Linked DNA regions of Mus musculus. The protein of the gene in region 1 interacts with the protein of each later gene in a pairwise test. Links are inferred from orthologs where the notes say so. Each region holds a gene or a part of one and is shown on either strand. Other genes may lie near its edges.

Region 1 (4,900 bases):
TTCTCCGTCAACTTCTCCATGATGATATCAGCCAGGGTGCGCCTATGGAGACACGGGAAAAAGAGAGGTGGAAAGAATTGGGGTCACTTTCCATGAAACTGTAACGTCCCCTCAACCTGTTTTTTATCTTTGTTGTTGTTATTTGACACAGGGGTTTTATGTCTAGCTTTGCCTGTCTTAGAACTGGCTCTGTAGACAAGGCTGACCTCAGACTCAGAGATCCACTTGTTTCTGCCTCCTTTGTGCTGGGATTAATGGTATGCCTGGCTCTGTTTATTAAAAAAGAAAGGCAGTAGTGGTGGTGTAAGCCTTTAATCCCAACACTTGGGAGGCAGGCAGATCTTTGTGAGTTGAAAGGTCAGCATGGTCTTCATAGGGAGATCTAGGCCAGACAGCAAGCCCCGTCTCAGAGGGGAAAAAGAAAGTCACAAAACATCCCCAAACAAAACAAGAATGCTTCACAAACTTGCATGTCCTCCTTGCATGGGGGCCACGTCCCTGTCACTGTTCTAATTTTAGTGTACGGGAAGCTGGAAGCGAGCAATGTATAATTCCCCTGGACGCTGACAAATCTCGATCCCGCTGGGATGCACAGCCTCAGTTCCCCTCTATGTCCATTTAGCCGCCTCAAAGTGCTGCAGAGCACGGGCCCTGGATGTCTCTGCATCTGACGCAGAGCCAGAGTGGTGGGGACGTTAGGCCCTTAGGCCCTGAAGTCAGCTCCGGCTCTTCTGGTCCTTGTATGATCCTGGGCCCGTCACTTGACTCCTCTAAGCCTCAGTTTCCTCATCTGTAAACTGGGGAAGTAAAAGGACCCCCCTGGACAGTCAGCTGAAGGGTAAAATCTAAGACTGCAGCAGGCCCGACTCTCAGCCAGAGCCAGCAGGTCCTGAGGGCTGTTTACTTCAAGCTCACCTCCCACTGCTCACACAACGGGGAGCAACTTCTGAGTGCAGAGTGGAGCTCTGTGCCAGGCAGCGCTGGTGCACACCTTTCATCCCAGCGCTCAGAAGGCAGCGGCAGGCAGAGTTTTGTGAGTTCAAGGCCAGCCTATCCTACTCACCCAGCACTTGCCTAGCAAGGATGAGACCTGGGTTCTGGCTTCCAGCACAAGGGGAAAAAGTTTCTCTGCAGTCTTTTTCTGTGCCGAGCAGCACTGAATCTGACACTTTCCAGACTTGTGTCCTGTGGTCTGCATGACACTGGTGGCAGGTGCTTTTATTCCCCCGCACTGCCCAGGCCGGGGAATCGAGACTCAGGGCCAACCAACAACTCTCCTAAGCCCTAAGACTTTCTCAGGGAAAGGGTAAATTTTAGTCTTTCGACTTCTAGTTTGGGTGCTTCGCAGCGTCTTCAATGTGCCTTAAGTGACAAGGCCTGATTGCTGTGTTCCCAAAGACCCTTAGCCTGGTTTCTGAAGATGCCAGCAGCCACTGCTCAAGAGTGCCCACGGTCCCCCTTTCCACCATGTTGTCACTTCCGTATAGCAACTGCAGAAAACATTCTGCTAAGTTTGTCAGATCAAGAGCCACTGGGTATGAGGTGCTGCCCGAGAGCCTTTGGGGGGCACATCACACCCCATGACCATTCTCAGAGCTGTCAGACACCTTCAGGGGACAGGGTTCTCCTGTGTTCTCTGAACCCAAGCTGCTCATCACCGTACTATTAATGATAGTGGTGTACTACACCCCACTCTGAAGAATAAACTGGTTGAGCCCCTTTGCCCTAAGCCCAGTCCTCTCAATGAGGCCAGATCCATCTGAATGGAACCAAGAATCTGACCACAGGCAGCCTAAATAACTGCATGTTTAGAAGTAGCATTTATAACACATGGGGGTACGTTTGTGGTTCTACCCAGAGGTAGTTTTAACCCCTCTGGGAACATTTTGTCAGAGATAGCTGCTATTGGCCCCAACACTGTAACTGAGATGGAAAACCCTGAGTTAAAGACTAAGCTATGGGCTGGCGAGATGGCTCAGCAGGTAAGAGCACTGACTGCTCTTCCGAAGATGCTGGGTTCAAATCCCAGCAGCCACATGGTGGCTCACACCCACCCGTAATGAGATTTGGTGCCCTCTTCTGGTGCGTCTGAAGCCAGCTACAGTGTACTTATGTATAGTAAATAAATCTTTGGGCCAGAGCGAGTGGGGTTGGCCAGAATGAGTAGAAGTCCTAAAATTCAATTCCCAACAACCATATGATGGCTCATAACCATTTGTACAGCTACAGTGTACTCACATACATAAATAAATTAATCTTAAAAAAAAATAAGACTAAGCTATGAGAGTAACGTACCAAGAATAAACACTACTAAACGGATCCCCAGCTATCACAAGGAACCGGTAATCCAGAGGTTCCAGATCAGATGGGCAAAGGGGAATCCGGGTCACTCCCGTTCAGGGGCCACTCTTGGCAATGGTCAGACCAACAGCTGTGGTCTGGATGAACTTTCTACCAGGACCCACTGGTCCAACCTTTAAGCCTTACCTCACGGGAGGATTCTTGTTCATGAACATTTCAATGGCACGCTCATCTTCAGGGTCCACGATCACCTCTGCCTGGTGGTCCACCCCGGCCATTTTGGCTGCCTTCTCCAGGGTAGGCCACTCCTCATCCTCCTCATCTGATCCATCCTGTGGCAATCCCGGCCCTACAAGATAATCCCAGCCGCAGGGGCTTGTGAGTCAGTTCCCCATTCCACGTACAGCACACCCAGGGAGCAGGAGGGACACCTGCAGAGGGACTATCCTTTTGTCCCCAGAGACTTGGAATCTTGATAGAAAATACAGCACACGAAGCGAGAGATGATAAGGCCAGTAAAGACTGGATGACATGTCCCCTCAGTGAATGGATGACATGTCCCCCCTCAATGACCAAGAAGGATCCATTCTATACTACACACATGTAACCTGGTCTGTCCAGATGACCTCAAGGAATAGGTACTGTTGCTATACCCAGTTCAAACCGGGGCAGAAGAGTTGATGTGCCCACAGTAGGTAGGCACTGTGGGTCCTGACTTCCCACTATGTTGCTTGCACAGTGGAACTGCATCATGTGCTGAAACTAAAACCATGGTGGAGGCAGTGTGCACCTCAGGCACTTGGATGAGTACAGAGGCTGAGGAGGCTCTGGATGGGCAGTCTGGGAGCAAGAGCATGCTCCACGTCCTGGAAAGTAATGCTGTTAGAGTGTTGGGCACTAAGGAGCCAGAAAGGAAACGGAAAGCCAACCTGGAAGGCTCTAAGGCTGGGCAGTGGCATTCGGACTCTGATCAACCAACACATTTAAGTTACTGGCTTAGGTAGTCGAGGATGACTTGGGAGTTCCTTGTTCTCGCGCCTCCACTTTCCAAACACGCACCACAGTGCTGAAGGCTGAGCTTCTGATGTTGGGTTAATCCCGTGTGTTCCATGTAAAGGCTGCCTGTGTACTATTCACATGTTAATCTTTGTTCCAGCAGAGAGCTGAGTACAGTCGGCATTGGTTTTTTTTTTTAATGAAGCATCACCTGTCTCAGTGTTGTGGAAACTTCTTCTCCATCACCTTCTGATTGGTTTAATCAAAAGCTGAGTGGCCCATAGCAGGGCTGGAAAGGATAGGCGGGACTTCTGGGCAGAGATAGGAACTCTGGGAAAGAAATCAGATGTGAGGGGACTCAACAGCCAGACACAGAGGAAGAAACACGTGCTGTTACTGAAGAGCAGTAACGAGCCCCGTGGTTGAATGTAGACTAGTATAAAGCAATTATGTTGTATCAGCGAGTTCGGAACAAGGCAGCTAAGGCCAAGCTTTCATAACTAATAAGAGGTCTCTGTGTCCTCACTTGGGTGATAGGTGGGTTGAGCCATTCCTGCCACATCCTGAGGTCCTGACCATGGAGTCTTGGCTGGGTACTTCCTGAGTGCTGGGATTAAAGTCATGTGCCAATACACCGGGCTGACTTTTGAAATACCGCACATAGCTGGCAAGGCAGTTGGGAAAGAGTCTAATAAACCAAAGTAGTTGAATTATTACCATAGCAACAGATCAGTTGCTATGGAAGTGGACTAAGGGTATATTATATAGAGCTCCAGAGAGTACACAGAGCATACCCAGTGAGAGCCAAGGTTGTTTGTTTTAGGTTTATTTTACTTTTAATGTTTGAGTGCTGACTGCACGTATGTCTGTGCACAAGTGTGCCTGGTGTCTAATGACATCAGAAGATGGCATTTGATCCCTTGCAAATGGAGTTACAGACAGCTATAGCCTGCCATATGAATGCCAGAAACCAAACTTGGGTTTTCTGCAAGAACAAGTGTTCTGAAGAGCTGAGGACCAACTCTTGAGAGTTTTCCTCTGTTCTCTACACACATCATGCCACGCACATGCACACAAAATACATGTTAAACAAAGGAAGACAAGAGCTATGAAATACGACGTAGGGAAAAGAGAGAAAATCAGGAGACAGTCACTGACATTTGTGTGGTGTTTTGTTGTTGTGATCATTTGCTTTTTGTATATGAGTGAACCCTGCATCATGGAAGTGACTCTTGGGAGCTGATGACCTTGTTTTTGAAACAGGATTTGACTGGGACCTGGGGATAGCTGATTAGGCTAGACTGGTTGCCCAGTAGGCCCAAGAGATCTGTCTTCTACACTGTAGCTCAGAAACTACAAGCTGCTGTGAGTGGAAGTCAGGGCTCATGCTCTCTCAAAGCATGGACCTCACCAGCTGTGAGCATTATCTTATCCTGTCCCTAGCTTGTGGTCAGACCTGAAACAGAGACAGACCAGACAGGACGCCATCAATCTCTAGCTGCTGAATGGACCACAGAGGTCACAGAATTCAAAGCACGATGTTTCCACAGTGATCCAGGGGAGAGACCCTGGTAGCTTAATCAGGGAGTGTCTCAGGTGAATG
Region 2 (4,900 bases), on another chromosome or scaffold:
CACATATCAACCTATTGAGTATAGAGTTTATTCTGTTGCTCTTCCGTGCCCTCCTCTGCATTTTGATGTGTCCTCAGCAAAGATGTATCGTTCTAACATTTTGGGAGGCATCATCAGAATGGAAGCACCTTGGGTGACACACACCCTCTTATTGTAGTTTTTCTGCTGCTAACGGGTGGGAGAACGTTAATGGGTGGAACTTACCCACCCAGGCCTGTGCTGTCAGTAAGGTACTGGGAAAGTTCCCTTGAAACACCTGCCCGAAGGTCTGAACATTTCCTCTGCCCTTCTCATCTCTGTACAGAGGAGAGACTTGTGCCTTCAAATGATCTTAGGTCTTTACTGATGGAGGAGGACCTATGGTGTCAGGGTGTTAGATCCCAGAAACAAATGACTCCTTAAATGTTTTCTGGTAGCTCCTCCTAGGTGCTTTGGACGCTGCTTTGCTCTTCGCGCGGAGAATGAGGTGTCTTCACACACAGCTCCTTTACAGCTCTGGGGAAGCAGTAGAGAGCGTAGAACCGGTCTACAGGCAGAGTCCTAGAAGCCTGGTACGTCAATCCTTTCCATTTGCCAATTACCTTCCAATCAAAGTGCTTTGCAAGGCTTTGAGCAAGATGCAAGGAAAACATCTACCTTTCATTCTTGCTGTGTTCATCAAAATGCATCCATTTCATTAATCTGGGAGAACAGAATCCACTGAACACTAACTTAAGCAGATGAAGGTGGCAGCCACCCAAGTGTACTTCCTTGGCAAACAGAATGTCATCCTCGTAGTCATACATAGATGATAACATTAATTACAAAATCTGTACAGATCTCACAGAATTATGGAAACACATAGCAAAAGCAAGTATTAGCAACGGTTGCCTGTTATCCAATAACTCTAGGAAAATCGTTATTCAACATTTTGATGCATCTTGCTCACATCTGATTCAGACAATCATGTGGGGCTGCTGCAATTCTTTCTCTGTAGCTCTCTTTCCTACCTGAGAGAGCATGCGGGATCTTCATGTCATTAGATGGCCTTCTAGACGCTGTGACCGTTGTAGCTTTTTGTGCATTGACGTCATTCCTGGATCTCTGCCGATGTACTAGAACTCCCAGGGTCCAGCTGCTCATCCTGCCTCAGCGTCCCCAGCAGCTCAAACCACAGCTACGCACCTTTGCAACGGACTTCAGTGTCCAAGTTTTGGTTTGTAACACCGTACTACAGTTGCCTTTATTTTGTTGTTATTTTGCTTCAAAGCATTTGTTCGTGTGCCTGTGTGTTCCTGTGCCTGTGTGCCTGTGTGGGAGTATATGAGTATATATGAGTATATGTATATGTATGTGTATGTGTATGTGTATGTGTATGTGTATGTGTATGTGTATGTGTATGTGTATATGTATATGTATACACACACACACACACACACACATATATATATATGAGTGTATACATGTCTTCCTCAGTCACTCTCCACCTTTTTTTTTTTTTTTTTGAGACAGAGTCTATTGCTGAAGCTAGAGCTCCCTGGTTTTGTGAGACTGGCTGACCTCCTGTCTGTGTAACCCCAGGGCTGGGATCACCCGTGTACCCTGCCACATCTGGCTTATAATAACAGGTGCTTAGGGATCAGGGTTCTGCGAGCCATCTCCTCAGCAGCCTTACAGCATTTGCTTTATTCCTTTGTTCGTTTATTTGCTTATTTACTTTGACACAGCATCCCTGGCTAGTATGGAACTTACTATGTAAACCAGGCTTGCCTCAAGTTTACAAAAATCTGCCAGTCTTTGCCTTTGGACCAAAGGCACATACCACCATGCTCAGCTCTTGATAAAGGGGTTTTTCCTTTCATCTTTTGTTAGTTTCGTGTGTGTGTGTGTGTGTGTGTGTGTGTGTGTGTGTGTGTGTCTGTCTGTCTGTCTGTCTGTCTGTCTGTCTGTCTGTCTTTGGGTATGTGCACGTGAGTGCAGGTGACCATGATGCCCAGAAGAAGGTATTGGATCACCTGGAGTCACAGGCAGTTGTGAGTGCTCGCTGAAGCTAACACTCCCTGATTTGGTTAGACTGGCTGGTTAGTGCGGCACACATGAGTGCTCAGAACTAAACAGATCCTCAGCAAGAGCAGAACCTCATCTTAAGTGCCCTAGCCCTAGCCCCAGGCCTGTAAGAACTCATTGTGTAGACCAGGCTAGCCTCCAACTTACTGATAGCCACCTGCCTGTGCCTCTGTAGTACTGAGATTAAAGGTTTGGCCACCACATAGGCTAAAAGTTGTACTAAGTACAAGAGAATATATTTACTAGTGACAATTGGCCACAAAATACAGAGCATTTAATGTCTTTTTCAAAGTCTTGTAAGCTGCCTTTATTGAAAAGTTTACAAACCTTTTTGAGTTTTTTTCCTTGTGTCTGTGTGCCTAATTTCATGGTGGAGAAACAAAAAGCAAACAAAAGAAATTGTTTCCCAAAGCAATCTAAAAGTTTAAATTGCTGATTGAATTGGGGGTGCCCGTGATATTGAACTGCAGACGTGTAGAGGCTGTGAAACATAACTAAGGGTCTGAGTCACGGTATTTCTTTACTTCTAAATAAAATGTCACAGGGCATTTTGCCGCTTTAATGCCCACACGGAAAAGGAATTAAGAGCAAGCTCCTTACATTGAGCTTCAACCCCTCTGAATGCACAGATCTGACCATCATTAAAGGATCCTAACTGCTGTTTCTTTTGTAGGCAAAATGAAGGATCGGCTTGCAGAGCTTCAAGAATTGTCCAGGAGCTATGACCAGCAATTCCCAGATGGGGACAATGACTTTGACGCTCCTCGGGAGGACATAGTGTTCGAGACCGACCACATCCTGGAGTCCTTGTACAGGGTCATCCAGGACATCCAGGATGAAAACCAGCTGCTTCTGATAGACGTGAGGCGCCTGGGGAGGCAGAACGTCCGCTTCCTCACGTCCATGCGGCGCCTCAGCAGCATTAAGCGCGACACCAACTCCATCGCCAAGGCCATCAAGACCCGAGGCGAAGGCATCCACCAGAAGCTGCGCTCCATGAAGGAGCTGAGCGAGCAGGCCGAGGCCCGGCACGGCGCGCACTCGGCGGTGGCTCGCATCTCACACGCGCAGTACAGCGCGCTGGCCCGCGCTTTCCAGCAAGCCATGTACGAGTACAACCAGGCCGAGATGAAACAGCGCGACAACTGCAAGATCCGCATCCAGCGGCAGCTGGAGATCATGGGCAAGGACATGTCGGGCGAGCAGATTGAGGACATGTTCGAGCAGGGCAAGTGGGATGTATTCTCCGAGAACCTGCTGGCCGACTTGAAGGGCGCGCGGGCTGCGCTCAACGAGATCGAGAGCCGCCACCGCGAGCTCCTGCGCCTGGAGGGTCGCATTCGCGATGTGCACGAGCTCTTCCTACAGATGGCCGTGCTAGTGGAGAAGCAGGAGGACACGCTGAACGTCATCGAGCTTAACGTGCAGAAGACCCTCGATTACACGGGCGAGGCCAAGGCGCAGGTGCGCAAGGCGGTGCAGTACAAGAAGAAGAACCCCTGCAGGACCATCTGCTGCTTCTGTTGTCCCTGTGTCAACTAGCCGCTGGCTTGAGTCTCCACTGCACGTGCCATGTGGGAAACATGTCCAGGATGCCCAGCCAAAGGCATCTTGCACTGGGCCGAGGGAGAGGGTCCCAATACCTTGCAGAATTCAGAGCATAGAGAAAGTGGGGGTTGGGATGCAAGATTTGGAGTCCGGCACCTGCTGCCTTCAAGGAATAGTTGTTAATATCCAATGGCTACTTAATGTAGACAGATTTCCACTGGCGTTGTGTGATGTCATTATAAAATACATAGCACTCAGCATCACGGGGAGGAACTAAGGTCATTTGCTAAGATGTGTGTCTTGAAAGGAGGAAGCCAAGAGAACAGGATGCTAATAGTATGAGTACATTATCAAAAGTTGCCTTTGTTTATCCTCTCTGGAAAGTTCCTTGGTGCTATATGGTTTTGAATGACATTCACTTCAGTATTCATTACGTCTGTTCATTTTCGTGGAACTTTGACCTTGGGTAAATTGGCTGCCATTCACTTCTGATTATTTATGTTGTGTGAGCCCTGCGTGAACTCCTTCCCTTGGCTCGCTCCCACTACACAGTAACCCTCACTGGACACTGGCTCCTTACCTCTCTCACCTTTTATATCGTCCACCAGCTTATATATGAATATTTTTAAAGCACCAAATATTGAACAAGCACTCAAGTTGAGCTTTATATTGGTCACATTTTATGGATTTTTCACAGATAACATTTATTTAAAATTTATCTTTGTACTTCATTTCATATGAATATGGGTGTAATTGTAAACTAATCTCCATTCCTATGTGTACATTAATGGCCAATTAGATTGACTTTGCTTTTGGAAATTCTGTATATAAACAACAAGAGCAGTTTTTGCTGTGTGCCATTGTTTGATGATCCTGAGTGTATTTCATGCCTGTCTGCACAGTCCAGTTTGGGTCTAACTTTATTTTGAACAACTGTGTGCTGTCATTAATAAAGAGAAGCGAGGAAGATTGGAAACTTGTGAAGCAGCTAGAGATGCTAAAGTGAGGTTCTTGGGGATAGTAATCTACCTTACTCCGAGCCATTCCTTTCTCCATTAAAGCAGAGAGACTTCAAGTAAAATCTTGTTTTTCAAATAAGTTTAATAAATATGAAGTTATAACTGTCTCTCTTTTTATATTTCTCTCTTGACCCACTGAACCTAAATTGATTGTCTTTTCCGATTATTGTTAAACTATCTCCCACCTAACTATAATGTCTGCATGGAACTCTAAACAAAGTTTTTACAGTCATTTAGAAATTGCTGAGGTTTTAAAGATTTGCTTTCACTTGAAGATGTTGGAAACC

The links.
Region 2: the proteins of Bysl (region 1) and Stx11 interact in binary tests that used the Homo sapiens proteins (3 or more experiments, as listed by UniProt). The two-hybrid records come from large-scale screens. The link is inferred for Mus musculus from reciprocal best matches to the Homo sapiens genes BYSL and STX11.

The regions. Positions count from the first base shown.
Region 1 is NC_000083.6:47,604,352-47,609,251, forward strand, and holds part of Bysl (bystin), read right to left. Parts: intron 2,651-4,900; coding exon 2,488-2,650; intron 43-2,487; coding exon 1-42. UniProt on the Homo sapiens protein: Required for processing of 20S pre-rRNA precursor and biogenesis of 40S ribosomal subunits. May be required for trophinin-dependent regulation of cell adhesion during implantation of human embryos.
Region 2 is NC_000076.6:12,939,803-12,944,702, reverse strand, and holds the end of Stx11 (syntaxin-11), read left to right. Parts: intron 1-416; 5' UTR 417-551; intron 552-976; exon of another isoform or gene 977-1,195; intron 1,196-2,719; 5' UTR 2,720-2,724; coding exon 2,725-3,588; 3' UTR 3,589-4,720; downstream 4,721-4,900. UniProt on the Homo sapiens protein: SNARE that acts to regulate protein transport between late endosomes and the trans-Golgi network.